Linked DNA regions of Rattus norvegicus. The protein of the gene in region 3 interacts with the protein of the main gene of each other region in a pairwise test. Links are inferred from orthologs where the notes say so. Each region holds a gene or a part of one and is shown on either strand. Other genes may lie near its edges. The genes, in order: Kif5b, Taf12 and Prkar2b.

Region 1 (3,650 bases), on a different chromosome or scaffold from region 3:
GAATTTTGCTGTTGATGCAAGTGTTATATAATTGAAGTCAGTCACCTGTTCCCAAGTAACTGTCATTTAGCTACATTTGGTCCAGTCTGTAGGGTGTTTGGATTAACATGTATGTTCTTATTGATAACTTGTTAGCATATGCCATTAGAATTTTATTCTTTATCTCTTGTATGTTACCTCTATCCGTGGTAACTTTCTCTGTGACATTCTGATTTGGCTTTACCTTTGTCCCTTGATATCATAAAGATTGATTTTAGGATCTCTCACACGATCCCTCATAAATATACCAACATCCATAGATGCTCAGGTCACGTATGAAATGATGTAGTGTTTGCATAGCCCCTATACACATTCTTCTGTATGTAACTACTCTCTAGACAACTACTGATACCCAATGTAGTGAGACCACGCAGGTGGATGTTAAACTATATTGTTTAAAGACATGGCCAGAAACAAACCATATGTTGAGTAAAAATGAAGTTTGTTTTGGAATGTTTCTCAACCTTGGCTAGTTGAATCCATGGGTATAGAAGGGTCAAAAATTAGAATATATAAATGTTTTAATAAAGACTTCTGTGGCCATTATGCTATTTTGCATCTTCTGATTTAGAATGATGTACCTAGTCTTGTTCACCAAAAGTCTTACACACAGCTTATGTATTAGAACCACAGCTCTTATTTAGGAGCCATTTAGGTTTAGTCACATGTTAGCTTATGTAGTATTAGAACTCTCTTTTATTTTTAGCAAATTATGTCTGTGTATGGTTTAGGTGATTTCCAGTTTGTTGTTTTATAATGTAGTAAAGAGATAACAGTGAAGACTACAGATTTACATGTAATTTTATTATTGACCAAAGCACACTAGAAATAAAATTTAATATTACTCTAATCGCATTCTTGTCCAACTAGTTCTCTGACTAGGCTATTAGAAGAATAGTGGGTATTTAAGGATTTCTAGTCCTTAGTGTGAACACCCTTCCCTTTTGTAATTTTATACTACTGTTTATTGGTGGCTATTTGGAAAGTTGAAAGAAAATTATCTTAAACTTAGAAGTTTATCTCATTATTATGTAATCTTACATAGGTTAGTAAAACTGGAGCTGAGGGTGCCGTGCTGGATGAAGCTAAGAACATCAACAAGTCACTTTCTGCACTTGGAAATGTCATTTCTGCTTTGGCAGAAGGCAGTGTGAGTATACAAGTCTGTTCCCTTTTTTATGGGTAGTTATTTATAGAGAATATACACAAGTGTAAAACTGAATGAGTGTGTGATGTCTTCTGAGTTTAGTGTTATACAAACCCACTCCCATCTTGAAATCAAGTAGTTACAATAAATGAAATAATCGAGGCCTGGGAAAGCATATCTGATCACAGTGCCTGAGGCAGAAACAGGATGACCAAAAGTTACACAGCAAATATTATTGTATAAACCCTACTATTTTTGTTGTTTTGTCTTTGTTTTTATTTGTAGACCTATGTTCCTTATCGAGACAGTAAAATGACCAGAATTCTTCAAGATTCATTAGGTGGCAACTGTAGGACCACTATTGTCATTTGCTGCTCTCCGTCATCTTACAATGAGTCTGAGACAAAGTCAACACTCCTCTTTGGTCAAAGGTTTGTTGAAATACAAAGCCTAAAGACATAGCATTAAAGTTACTAATGTCAGATAGCCACTACTCAAATCCAGACATACTGTCAGAGAGCTAGATCCTGTACTGTGAATCAGGACATAGGTCATATAAGTTAGAGCTGTATTTTAGACCTAACAAACTTTAACTTTTCACAGACATTAACATTAATTGAGAAATTTCATTGTCTAATTTTCTTCTGATGAAAGTAAATGTCTGAGTTAGATGACGAAGTAAAAGCTTTTCAAATATATGAGCCTGTGTGAAGCTCACTGACACACTTGAAGGCTCGATTAACATACATGAAATAGCTACTTTGTGAAAATCACCGACAGCCTTATCTTAGACCTGCAGGGATAGGTAACGTAGGTTACTGCTTCAGCCTTGCCAAGTGAGTTGGCAAAATAAATATATTTTCTTAGTTTTGATTTTTTTTTTCAAAGATTTATTTATTTATTCTATATAAGTACATTGTAGCTGCCTTCAGACACACCAGAAGAGGGCATCGGATCTCGTTACTGAGGGATGTGAGCCACCATGTGGTTGCTGGGAATTGAACTCTCCAGCCTGTTATTTTTAGTGTTACCAAAGATTGAGTGCAGATAGAAATTTATTTGTGAATAGATATTTTTTTAGAATTTGTTCTAAGAAAGAACTAGATAATCTTGAACAATTTGTTACTTAGCTATATTATGTATTAAACAGGAATGTCACTTAAAAATACTTTCAGTCATATCCTTTTTTTTTTTTTCTTTCTGTAATGATTACTCTTCCTTACACATGTCATCTCTTCTGTAATTGCATCACTAAGGGCCAAAACAATAAAGAACACAGTCTGTGTCAACGTAGAGTTAACTGCAGAGCAGTGGAAAAAGAAGTATGAAAAAGAAAAGGAAAAAAATAAGACTCTACGGAACACCATTCAGTGGCTGGAAAACGAGCTCAACCGATGGCGTAACGGTAATTAATCACTTAAGCATTGTCATTTAAACTTTCTCACTTAGGGCTCTTTTACATACTTGAGATTTTATATGAATGCTAAATAAAGCCTGTTTTCATGTAGAGGTCTTCAAATAAAGATCAAGATGTGTCATTTAAATTTTATGTTGTCTCAAACAGTAAGTAAGAGCCGTAGATGCTAGAGTACAGTAGGTGCCTAGATTAGGAAGAGTTCAGTAGCAGGTAAGCATGTCCAGATCTAGGACAGAGCTCTGTGGTATAGGCCTGTGATCCCAGCACATGGGAAGTAGAACTGACTCTACATGGCAAGAGTGTACCATTCTAAAAATCAAACAAAACTTAGGATCAGAGCAGAAAGAAAAGCAGCTAAGAGCTGCTGACGTTGCTTAAGGAAGAGGCACAAAGGATGGTGAGGTGGGACTCATTGCTTATCACCCCTTATGGAAACATTCATTTCAATAACAGGCGAAAATAGAACTTGATGTGGTTTAGTAATAAAGTTTCAGTGTCCACAAAGGATGCTTCTAGATTACTTGTGTCTCCCTATTCCTTAACCAAGATACAGAGAAAGATAAGGAAATTAGTGTACCTTGGACCCCAAGACTAGGGAAATGCCCTCCGCTCTATACATGCCTGCAGCCTTGCCTCACTGCCAAGTGGGAACTTGCAGCCTCAGGCTTCTTCTTTTTTTTTTTTTTTTTTATTTATTTTTTATTTATTTATTTTATGTATATGAGTACACTGTCTCTGTCTTCAGACAGAGTAAGTAGGTGGTGACATCAAACATGATAGTGATCATTGAGGGAAACAGGGCACCACAGACAGAGATCAAGATGAAGTGCCAATGGTTGATCCTAAAGAAACCGAGATGAGTGAACACCTGAGATTGAGAGTAAAAACTGATCCTGCACAGAAAAGCAATCGAAGGAAATGAAAACAGTAACCAGAATGAGAAATTTCTGATACTGAAGTACCTTTGAAAGCGCAAACATATCTGCTTAAAATGGCAGTAGGGAACACCAGCCACATACTTTGTCACAGCAGAAGGAATGTGTGGGA
Region 2 (4,104 bases), on a different chromosome or scaffold from region 3:
TGCCCCTTCCCAATAAGAAATGAACAAACAAACAAACCTTTAAAAATGGCACCAGAGGGGGTTGGGGATTTAGCTCAGTGGTAGAGCGCTTGCCTAGCAAGCGCAAAGCCCTGGGTTCGGTCCCCAGCTCCGAAAAAAAGAAAAAAGAAAAAAAAAATGGCACCAGAGGCTTTAGCTTTACAAATCCTCCCTTTGCTTTGTGGATGGTCTTTCTCGTGTGCCGGCTGTACAAGTCTCATCACCCTTAGTAAAAGTCTTAAAAACTAATAGTAGCGGCTAAGCTACCGGAAAAATAATAGCTTCAAGGATGTTAAAAACGACAATAACAAAAAAAAAAAAAAAAAAAAAAACTTTTTCAGAGGATAATTTTGGGGTTGGGTCTCTCCTTCCATCACTCAGGACTCAGAGACTGAACTGAAATCATCCCTCTTTGTGACAATCACCTCAGCAGAAGAACCACCTCACCTGATCTGCTTCTTTTTTTTTTTTTTCCTTTGAGATAAAGTCTCATGTTGACATCGAACTCCTAATTTTCCAGCCTCTACCTCCAATGTAATGGGATCACAGTCAAGCACTATGATGCTTGGCTATGTTAGCCCAAGCGTCCACATCTAGTACACACTAGCAATTAATGATGTCGCCCTAATTTTCAAAAAAATTAAATATAACCTGTTCTATTGTAGGAGTCTACAAATATTTCTCTTTCTACCTGGAATATCTATGCTTCTGTGAAAACACAGGAACTTAAGATCTCAAATACTATGGAGGTATCCTAAACGTCACAGTCCTTGACTTTAAAAGGAGTTAAGGAAGAAGCTGGGTATGATGGTGCAGCTTTGGATCCCAGGGCTCTGAAGGCAGAGGCAGGTGGCTCTCAGAGTTTGAGGCCAGCCTGGTCTACATAGCAATTTCCAGGCTAGGAGGAGCTAAATAGTTGGGGGAGGAGGGGTGTGCTTTCATTCAGTGGCAGGCTTTATAAATATTATGTATATTTTGCTCACATGCAAATTACACATGGAGGGGAGTCCACTTAGGAAAGTTCAAGACAGTTTTAGAGGCACATCTGGGGATAAGCTACTCCATACTATGCTGTTTAAGACAAACTCCTTATCCTCTATGGACATAAGACATAGTACAACATGACTAACCATACTTAACTGTGGAATTGTGATAACAAAGTAATGGAATGCTTGAAAGTGTTGAAGTTGTTCATGGTGGCACACACCTTTGATCCTAACACTCCCAAGGCAGAGACAGGAGGATTTCTTGGGGTTTGAAACCGGACTGGCCTACAGAGTGAGTTCCAGGATAGCCAGGGCTACACAGAAAAACTGTCTTAAAAAAGGAAGAAAGAAAGAAAGAAAGAGAGAGAGAGAGAGAGAGAGAGAGAGAGAGAGAGAGAGAGAAAGGAGGGAGGGAAGGAAAGAGAACAGAACAAACAAACAAAAAAAAAACCCAAAGTGATTAAGTTTTGCCCGATTCATCTGAGGAGGTTTCAGTCGTGGATCTTTATGAAGAGAAACGACAAGGTCCAAGTCACTCTTCTAAAAGCAATCCCTAGAAAATATTCTAGGTCACATTTACTTGTGAATTTCTCAACACATTTTTGAAAAGTAAGTAAAATGGGTTTCACTTAAGTTTGTTTCCTCACATTGTAACACAATGCCATAATAGGTACTAAAATATTAAAATCCATTAAAAAAATCCCTTCTGAGTTTGAGGGTAGAGATTCTAAAAGCATTTTATTCGAGTAATTTCAACCAAGCATCTCTTATTTGCTGTACATGGTAGAGGTCGGTATAACCGAATTGGCTCATAGTGATGCTAATCTTTCTTTGGCCCCTCTTTTCCTGAAATGTAAAAGAATTCAAAATGATCTTTTGCTGCCCTTCCATCTATGACAGTTTGCTTGTGATGCAGAGATCTGTGCTCCACAGGGACTGAATGGAATAGGGCTTAAGTAACATATATATATATATTTGAGTTCAACCGCTTTCAACTTTATATCTGATTCACAATAATGAAGAAAAACGAAGATGTTTTGTGTGGGTTTTCTAGATTAAGTATCTGACACAAGAAGCAGCCTAAATGCAAAAAGCCAAATAGGCAGCGCCAAGAAGTCTTCCCCCGAACATATCGTAACCCTCTGGGTACAGAGAACAGATCGCTAAATCTTTTCAACCTCTTTCCCTGGAAGGTTGATCTCCCAGCCTTCAAGGACCCCTTAGATCTTCCACTTTTAGGAGCTCGGGTCCTCACATCCCTGTCCCTTCAGAAACTCTTGAGTCTGAAAGCCCAGATCTTGTCCCCAAAGAAGACCCAGTCCTCACTGCCCATTTCTGTTCCCTTTCAAACTCAAGTCTTCTCTGCCTGCTTTTCTATCTCCAGTCCCTAAGTCTTTGCTGCCCTGTTTCTGAATCCTTAGGAGCTGGGACTTTACCGTTCTGCTTCTGTCTCTTAGGAGCCCGAGACTCGGGCTCCACTTTTACCTCTCTGGAGCCGGTGTCTTCACGCCCCGTTTCGTTCCTATCCTCGCTTCCTATAAAGTACAGGGTCTTCACCATCTGTGTCCCTCTCAGAAGGATTTCCCTCAGATGCTGCAGAACTCACATCCGTCCCCGTTTCCTAAGTCTCATTCAGAGCCCGAGTCCCCAACAGCCGCTGCTTCTGCGAGCCCGAACCCCTCAAGTCCCGTCCCAAGAGCCTGGCTCCTCACAGCCCCGTCTCTTCCACAACCTAGTTCTTCCAGCACTGACCCGCTGTGGGTCTGGGTCCTGACACCCTCCTCCCGCTCTTCATCCTCAACTGCCAGGGCCCAAGACTCACAGGCAGCAGCGTCTATCTCCCCATGATATGCGGAGACTGCCCCAGTGAAGCTTTCGTCTCAGCAGCCGGTCCGACTGCGCGGCCCTCCCCAAGCACTTCCGGCACCGCTCCCCGCCTCCAACCCGGAAACGCGCGGCTCTTCCGGCCGCCGGGCGCGCGCCTGACTAGCGCAGGCGCAGACCTTACTACAGCACGTGGTTGAGCTGTGAGCCTAGCGCCTATCTGGTCAGTTGTGTTTTCTGCTGTGTGTTGTGTGGCTGACTGGTGGACCAACTGCATCTCCTACCTCGGCGTGAATCCCTGTCCTAGATGTTTCTTTCCGACTCATATCTAGGTAACCAACGGCCTCGGAGGGCTTCCAAGTCGCCATTTTTGGTTGGTGCCTTTGTCGTGATATGAGGATGGGACCTCAGTTCGGCATAGATTTCAACTATTTGGCAGCTCGAGAACTTGGGGACTAGAGAGGCTGATTGTGCCTATTACTTAATTTCTAGCTCAATAACACTTGAACGAGAGCTGTCTGAGGAAGTGGTTAAGTCCTTCACTTGGAATGTCATGTACTAGTGGAAGAAACTTGTGTGAAATTCTACCTAAGAGATGTAGGTTCTCGACTTGAACTGAAAATTCTCACTCCAAAGCCCGGGATGGTCCAGTAACCGTTAAACCATTAAGTCCTGAGCTTTGAGTACATTTTTTGTTATTTTCCCTGTTCCAAGTGCTAGGCATGTAAGCAACACGCGGTTTTAGCCCCTGGCAAGGATTCTCAGTAAAATGGAAATCTTGCAAACCGATGTATACATGTCTAACATCTCAGCTACTAACGGTTCCCGCCCAAACAAATTCCATTCCATCTTTCCATCCTCTTCCTATTAGGCGCATCCACCCTCCCGGTCCAAAGTCCTGGATGCAAGAGCTTAGTTACCATTAAGTGGCAAACTGACTATAGTCTGATTTTTATTTTGGATTTATTTTATGCGTAAAAGTGTTTTGTCTGCATTTATATATGTATGCCATGTTCATGGCTGGTGCACAAAGAGGTCAGAAAAGGGCATCTGAAGCCTTGGAGTTGAAGTTACAGATAGTTGTGAGCCACCATGTGGCAACTGGCATTGACCATAGATCCTCTTCGAGAGTAAGAGATTCCTTAAACCACTGAGCCATCTCTCCAGCCTCAGCGTTATTTTTCTATCATGGTTCTCCTTAGAGAACAAATCAGTTGCTACTGTTGCATTCTTCCATCTTTTTTTTTTTTTTTTTTTTTGCTATGTGCTGGGTGTT
Region 3 (3,919 bases):
CTGCAAATGACACAATTTGTTTTTCTTTATGGCCTGTGGCACTCCCTCATATATGTGTATTTTCTTTTTCTATTTGTTGAGGGATACTTAGGCTGACTCTGTAACTTGGCTATCGTGGATAGTGCTGCGGTAGACATGGGCAGGTGGAGAGCTCTATCGAATGTTGATTTTGACTTCTTTAGACATGTGCCTAGGACTGGTAGAGCCTAGTCATAGGTCTGGTTTTAGTCTAATGAGGAACTTCTGTAGGATTTCCCAGTAGCTACAGTAATGCATATTCAAGAGACCTTGCCAGCTTTTGTTGTTTCTTGATGACAGGCTACTCTTTCTGGGGAGGAGGGTAGATGGACTCTCAGTGTAATGCTAATCTGATTTCTCAGATGGCTAATGTTTTTATCTAGCTATGGGCTACTTGTTTAGAGAAGGAGTTCATTTGCCTATTTAGAGGCTCCGAGCACATGGCTAGGCCGCTTTCATTTTCATTCACGTGCCTGCCATACCATGCGAGAATGCCCATAAAGCCTTATAAACCCTCCCTTATTAACTTTGCCAATTTGAGAGAGCGTTTGGTATGTTAGAGCAGGGTGATGTTTCCCACTATGTATTATAAACTCGGTTTTAAAGTGCACGTGTCAGCCAGATTTGCTGTCTCCCCTCTGTAATTCCAGCACCCGAAGCTTGAGGATCTTGAATTTAAGTCCAGTTTGTTCAAGGTCAGCGTGAGCTACATAGTCAGGCTGCCTCAAAGCCAAACACTGAAATGCACAAGGCAGACAGGCAGGGCGGACAGGCAGGGAAGCAAGTGTTGATTGAAGCAGGTGAAGGCCTTATGAGTTGCATCAGCCATGGTATAAATGCGTAAAGCTTCACAGCATGATCTTGTAAACCCTGAGGACAGGGCAGGAGACGCTCCTGTACCACCATTGGGGTGTTTATATTATTAGGGTGAAGCATCAAAGTTCATCTTGCCGTGTTGAGAGCCTCATTTCCTCATCAGCTGCACCACAAGGCCACCATCTGTCAAAGCATTTTAGACTGTCGCCAGAGATGTCCCTATTTCGTTTTTCGAAGTTGAACATTTCAACTCCCCCCCCCCCCCCCCCCGTGTCTTCATAATACCTACCTGAAATTCTCTAGCACGGTCGATATATCAAAACTGCAACGGCGTAGTAGAAAGGAATGACCTAGCAATTCCTGAGTCTTCACGGGATGGTGTTTTTAATTTAGTTTTTTCTTTTCTCAGCCATGGATGTGCAAGCATTTGAGAGGCTTCTGGGACCTTGCATGGAAATTATGAAGAGGAATATCGCCACCTATGAGGAGCAATTAGTTGCACTGTTTGGGACAAACATGGATATTGTTGAGCCCACTGCATGAAGCAAAAGTGTGGGGAAGAAAGCGCGTTAGTGAAGCAGTTACATAGCAGTGGTTAGTCCACCGAGGATGTGTTCGTGTAGATCAAGCATTTTCTGTGACTTCAGGTTTTCCTTTTTTAAACAGAAACCATTTACAATATATCAGTGAACAGTAGTGATTTAATAGTAGGCTTTAACATCACTTTCTAATGGGTAGTTCATAAATTAACATAATCATAAAAACGACTTTCTATTTCATAAAACTGACTGAAAGGTTTATTCAAATGGTTATAATATATTGAGAGCATACATGTTTAAGAAGATAATTAAAAGATGTACTCATAGGCCGACCTGTGTGTTTGGATTATTCAAGTATCGTGTTAGTGACTCTGCCCCTTTACGAGGGAAGCTGGCAGTGGCTTGTGCACTCACATTCTTTTTATAACTCGTCAGACAGTAAGATTGCCAATCATTTCATTTTCTACCTTTTCTGGCTTAGTAAGTTATGTGTTAGCCTTGGCCTATCGGTAACATGGTGTGGAAATCATATGCAATTTTAAAATTTTTTATATTTTTGCAATAAACTACATTTCAACTTCTTTGACAACTGTCAGCCAGCAGCCTGGGTAGTTGAGTGGCTTTTGGGGCCTGGTAATTTAGCTGTTGTGATGATTGGGCAGAGAGCCTTTTAGGATGAAAGCTCATAACTGCGTCTTTCATTATCCTTTCTCCATCATCACCGCTTCCCGCTTTGTATTTAGCAACCTCCTGGGTTCCTTACAGATCGCATTTTGACGTTTAATGTCACAAGGGTTGTATTGGTTCTCAAGGCAATTTCATCTTAATCTGACAATTTGTTTTGTCCTCTAAAAGTCCCGAATCTTCTATTCAGAAAAATGAAAGCTTCCCTATCAAAAGACATTTGGGATTCTTAGCCCACGCCCACAGAACATGGCTTTGCTCTGTAGGTCCCAGTGCTGCGACCCTGTGTGTGTGTCTGTGGTCCCCTGCCCTTCCCTGTCCTGAGCACCAGCCAGCGAGCACATTGGTCAGCAGCCAATCAAGTGCGTTTGCCCTTTCCAACCTTCAAAAACTTCAACAACGGTGGTGGAAAGAAGTCTGTGTATAAGCAAAGCCATACATGAGTATTAATGGGATTTTTCTCTATCCTACACCTTATTAGGCCTTGTTCTTAGCTTTAAAGTCAGCCCACAGTTAAAAGTACACAAAGTACAAAATTTTTTTTGGTCAACAAGATACTTACTTTTATGCCAAATACGATGAATTGTTAAAACCAAAGCAATATACTTTTATGTGATTTTCAGGCCCCTTGACCAAATGTCTAAAGGCATTAATTCTCACCAGTTTAATTCATGTTGAAATGGGTAATTTTACTTTGGGGAACATGTTTCTAAGGAACAGAGGTATCATGTATGTTAAATTCATCTGTGACTGTCTCGATCTTACAAGAGAATGTTTACAGTCCTACGTGTACGTGAAAACGTGGCTAGTGTTAAATGCATCATGTGTAAACAAGAAGTTAAAGTACGCTATACTGTTACCTACACCTTTAGCCGTGCTTTTGAAATGTCAGTCTTGCAAAATCTTTACGTAGGAAAAAAAGCTCTCTACATGAAGGTAACATGTTTTCTATTTCAGAGTTCAGAAGCCATGTGTTCAAACAAGAAACAAATCCCAAAAACAGAAAAACAAGAACAAAAGCCACCCAAATTCCTGGCTCATCCTTCTGTGTTCTTTTCTCTCTTTTCCAAGTTCTCTTTGGTTGCATTGCATAGGCTGAGTGTTGACGTTCACGGAAACCAATGCCTGTGGAATAAAGAGCCCCAACCAAGGCTACAGAGGCCAGCTGTGTTATTTTCAGTATTGTTGGTTATATTTAAATTTTCCTTATAATAAAGCACACTTTTATAATAAATGTTGCAAGCATTGTTTTCTTCATTATGGCTTGTCTAGGGTATAAATGCATCAAACACACACCAGGCTCGTGGAAGCTATAACCCCATAGCATACAGCAGTCAGAAAGTATAGGTTTGCACCTCTGTAGGTCTGTGTAAGATTTTAACCACTTGTTAAGTTTTTTAACTATTGTGGTATGTTGCATATTATTTTGGCCAAATATGACTTACTGGGGAATTTATGTGTAAAGCTTCCCAGTTAAAACATGTTTGGCTTGTGGGTGCCATTATTAAGTCAGTAGCAAGTATTTGAGAATTCTCTGATGAGGTTTTGGTTCAAAGACCGCAGCCCTTAGGTACACGTGTTAGGCAGTCTTTGAGAACAAGATTCTTCATTTTGCTTTGAATATGTTTAGAAGGGTGTGTGTGTCTCTTGTTTATCAGTATGAATTTGGGCTTAGCACCTATGTTTTAACAACAATATTACCTGCAGCAGAAGTTGGATGACTCTGTTGGGATCCTGTTCACATTGGCATCCAAACCACATAGCATGTTTGGTTTTGTGTGGAGACTGCAGAGAAACAGGGACTTAGGATTTTGCTGAGAAATGTGCTGAGATGTCTTCATTTTCAGAGTATATTTAACAAT

The links.
Region 1: the proteins of Prkar2b (region 3) and Kif5b interact in binary tests that used the Homo sapiens proteins (3 or more experiments, as listed by UniProt). The two-hybrid records come from large-scale screens. The link is inferred for Rattus norvegicus from reciprocal best matches to the Homo sapiens genes PRKAR2B and KIF5B.
Region 2: the proteins of Prkar2b (region 3) and Taf12 interact in binary tests that used the Homo sapiens proteins (3 or more experiments, as listed by UniProt). The two-hybrid records come from large-scale screens. The link is inferred for Rattus norvegicus from reciprocal best matches to the Homo sapiens genes PRKAR2B and TAF12.

What each region holds. Positions count from the first base shown.
Region 1 is NC_086035.1:56,198,840-56,202,489, forward strand, and holds part of Kif5b (kinesin-1 heavy chain), read left to right. Parts: intron 1-1,084; coding exon 1,085-1,189; intron 1,190-1,471; coding exon 1,472-1,617; intron 1,618-2,442; coding exon 2,443-2,591; intron 2,592-3,650. UniProt on the Homo sapiens protein: Microtubule-dependent motor required for normal distribution of mitochondria and lysosomes. Can induce formation of neurite-like membrane protrusions in non-neuronal cells in a ZFYVE27-dependent manner.
Region 2 is NC_086023.1:149,755,692-149,759,795, reverse strand, and holds the start of Taf12 (transcription initiation factor TFIID subunit 12), read right to left. Parts: upstream 2,903-4,104; 5' UTR 2,827-2,902; intron 2,782-2,826; exon of another isoform or gene 2,757-2,781; intron 1-2,756. UniProt on the Homo sapiens protein: The TFIID basal transcription factor complex plays a major role in the initiation of RNA polymerase II (Pol II)-dependent transcription.
Region 3 is NC_086024.1:54,290,515-54,294,433, reverse strand, and holds the end of Prkar2b (cAMP-dependent protein kinase type II-beta regulatory subunit), read left to right. Parts: intron 1-1,243; coding exon 1,244-1,377; 3' UTR 1,378-3,291; downstream 3,292-3,919. UniProt on the Homo sapiens protein: Regulatory subunit of the cAMP-dependent protein kinases involved in cAMP signaling in cells. Type II regulatory chains mediate membrane association by binding to anchoring proteins, including the MAP2 kinase.